Linked DNA regions of Drosophila melanogaster. The protein of the gene in region 2 interacts with the protein of the main gene of each other region in a pairwise test. Each region holds a gene or a part of one and is shown on either strand. Other genes may lie near its edges. The genes, in order: stumps and htl.

What was found.
Region 1: the proteins of htl (region 2) and stumps interact in a two-hybrid assay, tested with the Drosophila melanogaster proteins (2 studies listed by BioGRID).

What each region holds. Positions count from the first base shown.
Region 1 is NT_033777.3:14,589,471-14,594,669, reverse strand, and holds the start of stumps (stumps), read right to left. Parts: upstream 3,051-5,199; 5' UTR 2,701-3,050; coding exon 2,661-2,700; intron 2,389-2,660; coding exon 2,150-2,388; intron 2,010-2,149; coding exon 1,828-2,009; intron 1,667-1,827; coding exon of another isoform or gene 1,664-1,666; coding exon 1,455-1,663; intron 1-1,454.
Region 2 is NT_033777.3:18,049,860-18,054,879, reverse strand, and holds the start of htl (heartless), read left to right. Parts: upstream 1-1,895; 5' UTR 1,896-2,378; intron 2,379-5,020. UniProt on the Drosophila melanogaster protein: May be required for patterning of muscle precursor cells. May be essential for generation of mesodermal and endodermal layers, invaginations of various types of cells and CNS formation.

The DNA.
Region 1 (5,199 bases), 3.5 Mb from region 2:
TGCCTAGTTTCCTGCATATGGCGAAAGATTCGAATGGATTGCAAGTGACCATAGCGATAAGTGTGTCGAATATGGTGGGTGATCATTTTTAGAATAAGGCGCTGTGGGCAACCGTTATTATAATTGATAACAATAACAATAAGGGAAAGAATCTATTGTTTTTATAATAGTAAAAACTTTAATGGCACACTTCTAATAAATTGCGGCACTTCTAAAGCAGATCTACATGCTCTGAATTTCTATGTATGAAACACTCCTCAGTATCTCATCTACTACTTATTTCTCATCTCTTTTGAGACTCGAAAATCGCGCTGGATTTAAACGTCACACGAAGTGCCTTAAATCAACTTAAATCATCAGATGTCATGAAAGCGAAACCTTGAAAACGCTTATGATGAATACACAATGATCGTGCAAAGGAGTCCTGAGCGACTCATAAACCATAAACCTGTGACTTTTGCTGGACATACGAGTAAACCAGGAGGCCTTTCCATCTTGCATGCAACTGCCCACTTTAGGGGCATCCATCACACGGAGGACTGTCAATGTCAGGCCAGTCGCGAAATGTCAGTCAGCCAGGAAGGCGCGTTGCCAACAATCAGCTATATATACGCTCGATCGGCTATATGCGATCCCCTCATTACGCCACAAAATCGAAGGCAAACAGAAGCTCCACTCCACTGCCGGGGAAAAACAATGCCAAAACAAAGATTGGCGACGCTCTGGCGACAAAATACTATTACAATTATCACTTGCGTAAACATTGCAATGTTGTTAACGTGGTTTAAATGTGAGGGCGAACTGAAAGGGGCTGGGTAGTGGACCCAATTCCATGGCGCCTGCCAGGCGAAAAATGAAAAAACAAATTCCGAAGAGCTGGCAGTTGCGCTTAATATGCAAACGTGATGCAAAGCTGCGAGGTAAAGGTTGTTGGGCAGCCACTGGAGGAGTCAACAGGGGGGAAAACCCCAGAAGGGAGGACTTTTGGGGCATGAAAATGGAGTAGCAGGCAAAGGGGAGTGAACGCCTGACAGCCGCCAAAGTGCAAAAATGCGAACGCGAAACGAGGGCAGGGAATGCAATTTGCAACCACTTTGTCTTTGTCACTGCGTCGGCTGAACTTGTGGGGCATATTAAAATAACTAAAAGTATATTAGACTCGAGTAAATTAAATAACACAGCAATAAGCAGATATTTAAAAAATAGCTCTCAAAGAAAATTAAAAATTTGTGAGCCAAAATTTATTCCTTTAGGGACATAACAGCCATATCCTATAATCCATATACGTTTGCTGTCAACTATCGACTTTTCTATTATCTGAAAACTTTGCTAAACGATTTCCATTTACATGGATTACTTCTACTTATTGAGCCCAGATTAGCATAGGAATTCGCGATTGCCCCGTGGCATACTGAGCAGATGGGAAATGCAAGTGTCGTGGAACGTCAACTCACCTCTTCGTCGATGGGAACTGCCGCGGAATTTGTTTGGCGAGAGGAGCGGCGGTCGAGGCGCCATCATGCTGGGCACCTCATCCGGAGATCCCAGTCCCATTGCTCCAGAGTTCTGTTGATGTTGCTGTTGATGCTGATGTTGGGCCCAGTTTCCCAGGGAATGGCGACGAGTTCCGCCACTTGGCAGGGTGTGATGTCGATGCGATTTGCTACTGAGGATTGGTCGCAAAGATGGGGGGTGGGGGGAGAAAAGAAAGGGCGCACGATTAGCATGGGCGGAAAAGGGGGCGGTTCGAAACTGTCAACAGCTGCAATCGCATCCTGTCATCACCTCACCCTCCCCATTAAATGCTCGATTCTGGGGATTGCTCACCTTGTTGGCGATGTCAGCGGATTGAAGACCTCGTCGTGATCCCCAGCTACGGATGCACCTCCTCCTCCGGGACACTGGGAGCTGTGGGTCTCGTTGCAAGAATTCAGGCGTTCCCGGAACTCTGAGTGCGAATTTGCAGATCGCTGGCGGTACATGTTCATCGTCTGCAGTTCAATCGCGTGCTGAAATGCGCAAAACGGAAGAGGACGGCACATTAGAAGGGCTCACTCGACTCCACAGGAAGTGGCAGATCCAGCAGATAAATCAGAATCAGTATTCCGAAATCGGAGATCGGAATATGCTCTATTAAATCGCTACTCACTTGCGGATAGCCGGCGAGGGAATTGAAGCTGCCCCGCGGACTTCCTAATGCCATGGTAGCCGTGGTATCCAGATTGGCGGATGTGATCAGTCGCATCTGTTCCGGATTGGTCATCACCAGCGGCCGGGGGCTGCTGCCCTTCGAGTTGCGCCGCTTGAAGATCGAGAATCCCCGGCTGGAGGACTGCGAGTCCGGGGTGCGCGGCGACTTGGTTTCATTGCAAAAGTAATACGGGTTGTCTGGGGAGTTCAATTGCAATAGAATGAATGAGGAATGGAGTTAGTTTTCTGATTTGAACTTATCAAAGTTTGAGGATGTGCTTATAAAGTATAATAAATAACATTTATTTAATATCATATATGTACGTTTTTAATCTGTATGAATCTCTGTATCTTTGTATAATCTTTCGCTTTTGCTCATACTTTCTAACTTAAAACTTTGATATTTGTTACAATTCTTTTCGCATAAAGAAACTTATAAAGTCTTTAAGAAACTCTTTCACTCTTTTTACCTGAGAAGAAGGTGTTTGTGTTATCCACAGTGACAAACATCTTGAGATCCTTTATGCAGTGAATTTTTCCTTAGTTGATATGCGATTCGCAGAGTCTACCACAATTCAGAGCTCTGATTTGCGATGCATTTGCACTTTCACTGGCTGCGCATGCGCACGCGCCAAAAGTTGCGCACAGGGCGCGAATTCGAGAAACCGTAAACGGAAATCACAACGGGGAGTGCCACAAATGGCAACTTAACAAATTGTCAGTTTGAAAAAACGGGGCAAATAAATTCAAAATTCAAATTTAGGCGGCAATGCAAGTTCGTGATGGTTCGACTTAATATTTCACTTCAGTTCACTTGAGTTCGCGCAGTGCGTGCGTCTGCATTGACATCCCGAAACGGAATAAATTCTAAAACTTCAACGAGAACAAAACACTCCGCGCCGTCTGCATTTTCCTCTGCCACCGCCGATGTCTCTGTCGACGTCTCTGCCGACGCAGAGAATCCCTCCTCGTGTTTTGGTTTTTATTTACCATACGCGCACTTCTTCATCCATTCCCATTCTCAGCGTGCACTGATAAAAATAAATATACCGAAAAATCCCACCTTCTCATATTAATATTTTCTTTCGAATTCTCTAAGCGAAACTGTTAGGCATAATTTTCTTAATAAATTCAGATACAAAAAATTACTTGAAATAAGTACCACAAGATTTTGAACTGGATACATTAATTAAATAAAATAATAATATTTAATCGGTAAATTTGATTTCTTTATGTCTGTTTCTGTGTCTTCACTAATAAATTTGTACATCATTTTGAGAGATCAATCAATTCTCATCTCTTATTTTCTCACAGTGCAGCGACATCGGCAGCAGCATAAAAACATTGCATCTCTCCCTCGCACTCTCACCCCATCTCGCTCCCGCCCGCGCACGCACACACGCATACGGGATCAGTGTTTAAATATGGTTGCCATATTGCCATCACCCACTCGGTACTCCCCCACCCCTAGAAACCGATCGGCGATCAGGAAAACTCACTTTTCCTCGACTACAACGACTTTGTTGTTGTACCTGCGCATGTTTTTCTTTTGCGTGCGCTTTTCGCATGATCAAATTATCATCGCCAGCGCGCTCCGAGTCCATGATTTCCATGATATCCATGATTCCCTGTCCTCTGTCCCCTGTCCACTGTCCCTGTCTCCTGTCCCTTTCCCATTTTCCATCCGTGAGCGTACGTTTTGTCTTGGTCTCGTCGTGCATATTTGATGAGTTCCGATAGCAGAAATAGAAGACCCATCTAGCATATAAGCCAACTTGATGTGGCGCACATAGCATATACCATCATCATATATATTGTAGCATCTGAGGTGAGCCCCCCGGTTTAGTATTCCCCATGTTCTATCAGTGTCAAAGTTTGAGTTTGTGCGCCGAGTGTTGTCTGTGGTTGGGTTGGTCTTCAATTCGATGATGTTCACTGTCAGGAAACATTTATGAGACGTTTTTCGGGAGGGACCATGAGAACTCACCTTCGCAGAGCGGTGGGAGAATTAATCTTCCAAAATATCATGGGAAAAAATACAAAAAAAAAAAATTATACAAAGAGTTTTAGGATGTTTGATGATACAGATGCCAGAAATTCATCAAAAATATGATGATTACTTACGCTGTATATTAATATATTAGCATAAAGTAAACTCATATTTGGAGCATTTCTTCAATTGTCCTGAAGATACGCAATATTTGCCTTTCGACTTTATGGCAAATATGAAAATTGTCATCAATGTTGGGCCGAAAATAGAAGGCCATAATAGAAGCTATGGCCAGGCGACATATTCCAGCCACATTAGGGGAAACTCGAGAGCATCAAAGGCAGAAAAAAAAGAACGCGCATCGGAAAAGGCACATTAAAAATTGCAGCCAGGGGAGAGCAACAATTGTGCTAAGGGAACACATTTTCACATTTTTCCCCAGTGCAACTAGGAAAAAAAAAACTGAAACTGAAGCAACAACTGAAGTGGCAAAATGCTAGAGAGTCCATGTGGTCTGTCCGTGGAATTCCTAAGTGGACTGGGTCTAAAATCGGGCCTGCCATCGATACTGGGCCAACAACCAAATAACCCCTACCACACAGATGCCCGGCATATTGGGACCTATGGAAAAATCGTAAAACTCGGTACCCGAGCAGAAATTGCACATTTCGTAGTCCATAAAGGCGAGAGTCTGCCATCGAGGGTTGATCTTTGAGTGGCGGCTCTCTGCGGAGCAAGTGACTCTGCAACGTTACACTGGCAGAAATAACTTTAATGTTATATAATATAACACTTAGCATGTTATATCCTGAAAAGTTAAGATATTAACAAATGTAATGAGTTTCTTAAACATTTTAAATATTTCTCCCAGTGCAAACGTATTTGTTTGGCTGCTGCTGGATGCAAATGATCTTGAACCACTAGGGTACTTGCACTTGCAGCCGATTGCCTTGCTCGAGTACTTGGGCAAATGCATTTGCTGCACATAAATGTCAAATGCTTGTCTTCGCCAGCACGCT
Region 2 (5,020 bases):
TCACCTAGCAAAAGTTAATATATTGCTCTTCCTTATTTTCATTGACAGCTTCAATAGCCCATCTGTTTATCTATTGCAACTGAATAAGTCTAGCAGTTAACTTATTTTTTGGTTGTTTAATCCGCTGGTCGAAAGCGTTTCTCATTGGCATATTTCGCATATAATTGGCTATAAAAATTCATGTTAATGTGCAATTAATCATATTAGCAATTAACTTTATGCTGTTTGGCTGCTCTGCACGAGATCTCGACGAGCTGCGATCTGCGAGATGGCTGCAGATCGTGTCGCCCAACTCGAAGATCGTGTCTCCAAAAGCCTGTTACCGTTCCCGATTTTTCATTTCCCATTCGCAGATTCCCAGAGCCAAATGGCCAAAGGCTCGACCAACCAGACTTTGAGCCAATTTCCCAATATTTATTTCTATGCTCGAAACGCTAACAACTTGCGTTTCGTTCTGGCCAAATTGAAAAGCCATACGGAAGCTGAAGCTGCGATCGGCAGCCTCGAGGAGAAGCACTTTTGGGTAGCCAAGAGGAGCCCGGTTTGGAGCCAGGTTGGAGCCAGGAGGCTTGCCCAGGAGTGCATAAAATTTAAGTATTATGACCATACACACTGATCGGTGGCCGTCTTTAACCCGTGCTTTCCCCGGTCTCTCTGCGGCTTTACGAGGTTGTTAACTGTTGAAACTATGCTAACCACTCATGGGGATCCTCCCTCCCAATTCCGCCGTGGAGCATCAATTAATCAGTCAGGCGTAACGCCATTTGGCACTGAACGGGTCCCGTCGGCCACAATTGATGGTCAATAATCGTTAATTGTTTTCGATTTTCGGCCAAAATCCCCCCTGCGTCATTGTCCATTGTTTGGCTAACCCTTTTCGTTATTTTTGGTGTCTCCATAGAGACAAACGCTAAACGATGCCATTGTCTTTGGCGCACAGCGTGTGTGCTTTGATGGCCTTTTCACCACGAGTGTCATTCATTAGAGGGGCTTTCTTCCATCGCCACTTGGCTACTGGTTCTTATGTGTCTGTTGGCCATTTGACATTGGCTATAAGTAGCTCATAATTAATAACTGCTAACTTACTTAGCGAGCTATTGTGTTGGCTAATGAATCTCATTCCGCATTTTCCGCCTCAAACGAAGCGCAAAGAAATGCGCAAAGAATTTGTCAGTAGAATCTTAGGCCCTCATAGGCCATAAATCTTTTTAAAAAATAATAATAATTAAATTCAAGTGACTGATCTATTCTGACTAAGATAAGTTAGCTATTCTTTTTAATAAAGCATGATCCATCAAACCAATTATAACTACATAAATAATTGATCTGAATATAAGGAATCTTTTTGACAACTACCCATCTTCTTTGCACCCTCATAATGAAATTCATGAATTTCCTCGCTGCGCTCGAAACTATGCAACATATTGTGCGTTAGAATATCTTTGAGATATTCCATTCGACTCAATTGAACGAATTTTAGAACGAGTGCGGTCTGTGCACTCAATTACATTTCACTTTCCAAGGGAAGGCCGCCACTCAGCTACACACTTGTGTGTGTGTGTGTGTGGGTCCCCCATATATAGGGTATAGGGGCCCCTATACCATATAGTACCATACATACATATACCGCATACCCAACCCCTCGCTTTTTCGACCCTTCCTCTCTTTGGCTGCGGATTATACAATGTGTGGCTGGCGTTCCGTTCAATTTTGTGTGTTTTCTGTATTTGTTTACGCGCCTGCCGCAAAAATACATTGCAGAGATGTGTTCTCCAGCATGTTGAAGTTGATGGGGGAAATGTGAATTCGTTTCATTTGTTCCCTCATTTAATTGAAGAGATTTATTTCGCAGAGCTGGCTCGGTTCTGTTCGGTTCGCTTGCTTTTTTTTGACTCAGTTGCGATCGGACTGCGTGCCGTTACAGTAGGCGAAATCGGAGGAAAATCGTTGGAAAATCGGTTGGAAAATCGTTGGAAAATCGGTGAAAAATCGTCGAAAATTAGAGCGAACGATCGATCGATTGAACGCGTAATAACGCCATATAATATAATTATACTAATAATTATTAGTAATGCCTCTTGGTGAAAACGCACACATTTTGTGGATGGAAAGAAACAAAACAGAGTCAAGTGTGCAACGGTTTCTGGTTCTGTTTAAGTGCCTAAGTGCCATATAAATGCGTACTAAAACATTTCTGGAATTTTAAGTGGAAACATTCTCGAATTCTGTGAACTTTCCCAATTGTGTTTTTAGTGAAAGACTTACAATTTAGACGAAGGCAAGGAGAAATTCCAACGCAGAGACACTTTGGTGGATATTTGGCAAGAAGCTTTTTGGCATTTTTTTTTTTTTGTTCGTGGAGCAACGCACTTTGTGAGGTAAGTCTTTAAAAATACACACCGTGCATCGTTTAATTTAGTTTATTTTGTTTTTGGTTTTTTTTGCGTAGTTGCGCAAATCATTTGTTTGATCCACTTTTTGATTGACCGCGCACAGCAATTTGACTTTTTAACCCAAAGGCCAAAAAGTGTAAAATGTGCAGTGGTTCGGTTCCAAAGCAATTTGTGTCGTTTATCCCGCTGTGTGTGTGTGTAGTCAATCGTTCAATTATCTATTCTCTGGCTACCCCATAATAATACAGTGAATATGGACAGTTGTGGGCTCCCCATAGTATCTGTTTTTTTTATTTTTTATTTATTCCATTCGGTTCTGCTATGGTACATGCTCAAATTGAAAGCACTTTTCCACAGGGTTCCCATTCTAATTTATATTTATTTATTTGCTTTTACAAGCCAACCGATGCCCCAGAGCTCGGGAAAATATTTCAAACTCATAATTCTGTTATATTCCAACGCTCCCTTAGAATGGGATTTTGTTTATTAACCAACAGCATATAGCATATATCGTATCATCTAGAGTCTAGATTCTAGAATGTAGACGGTATAGGAACATGCAATATTTTCTAGCCGCGTAAACAAACATTTCAACTTGTCTGCTCTTTGTCCGACTTGCTCTATATCTGAGTGAGTATATAGCTAAAGATATAGCTATCTGTGTGTATATATATGTATATATATATATTTATCGGGTATCTGTTTTGTCGGTCGGTTAGCTTTACGATGCCATCTTCTAGGTGATTCGGCTTCTGTTTTGTTGCCTTTGGCAATCACTCAATTTGCTGGCCGACAACCGAAGACGCTTCTTACTTTTCGCCTCCCTTCTCTGCAATTTATTTATGAATGATAATTAAGGTTAGGTTTGTTTAGCTAATTGTGCGGCCAGTTCCCGGTATTGTTCCCATATCATCTCAGGTGGGATCCACGCAGACTTTCGGTATGATCCTTTGATCTTTATGATGTTAAAGTACAAATGTCACGAGAATATATGCTTGCTATATAATATTAAATGTTTTCATGAGAGTTTATCATAAAATCAGTGTTTACCAAATAAAGATTTCGATTTAGAAATAGATTTATGTCAACAATAAAGTAATAATGTTATTTTTTGGTATTATAATATATTATAGCTTAAGCTTATCAATGCTACAGCACTTTTATAATGGATTTTGTTGTCTAAATGTTTGTGAGTACTAATAAAATTTTAAAGCTCTAAATGGCAAATTTACAAATATATAAGTAAAGCTTGCAACAATTTAAGAATAGCACATATTTATTTCAACTAAATCTGTTGAACGTTCTTTATATAAATCGCTGCGTGCTTTATATTTCTGAAATGTAAATCGAATCAATAGTTCACTACTCATATACTTTGTGATAATTTAACGTAGCTTCGCGTTTTTGATAAAGTCGACTTGCCACAATCGACCTTTCGCTCCATCTGCTTCTTTTCGTTTACCCCATGGGATGCAACCTTCTCGCCGTCACGTACTGAATGGTATATACTAGATGAACGGGTGGGGATGGATGGATGGATGGATGGCTGGATGGGATTGGCATTGGGTGGCTGATGGCTGGTGGAACCTGCCGACGAACCGTGCGAAATAACAGACTCGTGCCGGTCTCGACTTGGTATCGGATACACTGAGCGGCAGCGGGGCAACCGCCAAGTGCGTCAATTGCGGGTCAACCCGTGCGATTGAAATGGATGCGCCAAGTGACCGGCGATTTCAATTCGATGGGAAATGTACATATACCGTGCAATGTTTGTATACTTTGCAAATACTTTCCGGAACGTGTTTGTTTATAAATCGGGCGATTTTGGACGGCACAGGAAATACATACATATACTAAAATTGCGCGCTCATTATCGATGGAGGTGAAGGTCGGAGGGTGGAGATAGAATACCAAACATATATACAATTTTTGGCAGTTTCCGATTTGGCGGATGCCTTCCTGGAAGTCAACATTTCGGATAACCCCATCATTTAGACGCTGGAGTCGCTACTTCCCCTCGAGAATCGACGACAATGTCTGTGCAACACATGTGGCACGATCTTAGGTAGACATACGTATATGTACATTCGTGTATGTTCGATGCTGATGATGTGCCCACATGTTGCAGTCAACAATAGAGCAACAAATGCAAGCCGAAACAATATTTGCCCTTGTCTCTGCTCTGACTCTGACTGTGGGCGTGGCGACGGGGGCGGGAGAACAGAGACAACTGAACACAGTAGTCTTCTCCGCCGGCCGTTATTTTTGTTGCTTTTAATTTCTTTAATTTTTTTTTGTCCGCCAGATGTGGGCTGAATGTTGAATGCGGACTGGAAAGATCAGACCCAGAACGCGGAGAGAAACTGTGTCTGTTTTAATTAAAGATGAGAGTAATACCCAGTGCAAACTGAGAGATACCGCCGATACTGAGATACAAAGCCAGACGGGGCTGGCATGTGTGGAAAATTAAGGCTGCCGTTGAAAGCGAAAAGATGCGGGACGCTAAAGGCAACGACCATCCAAACAGAACAGAACCGCAATGTGAATGAAAAAGCGAGCTTGTCAATTTATTGACTATAGCATACCTGGCAATTTGGCAACTCGACTTTACTCGAAAAAAAAAAAAT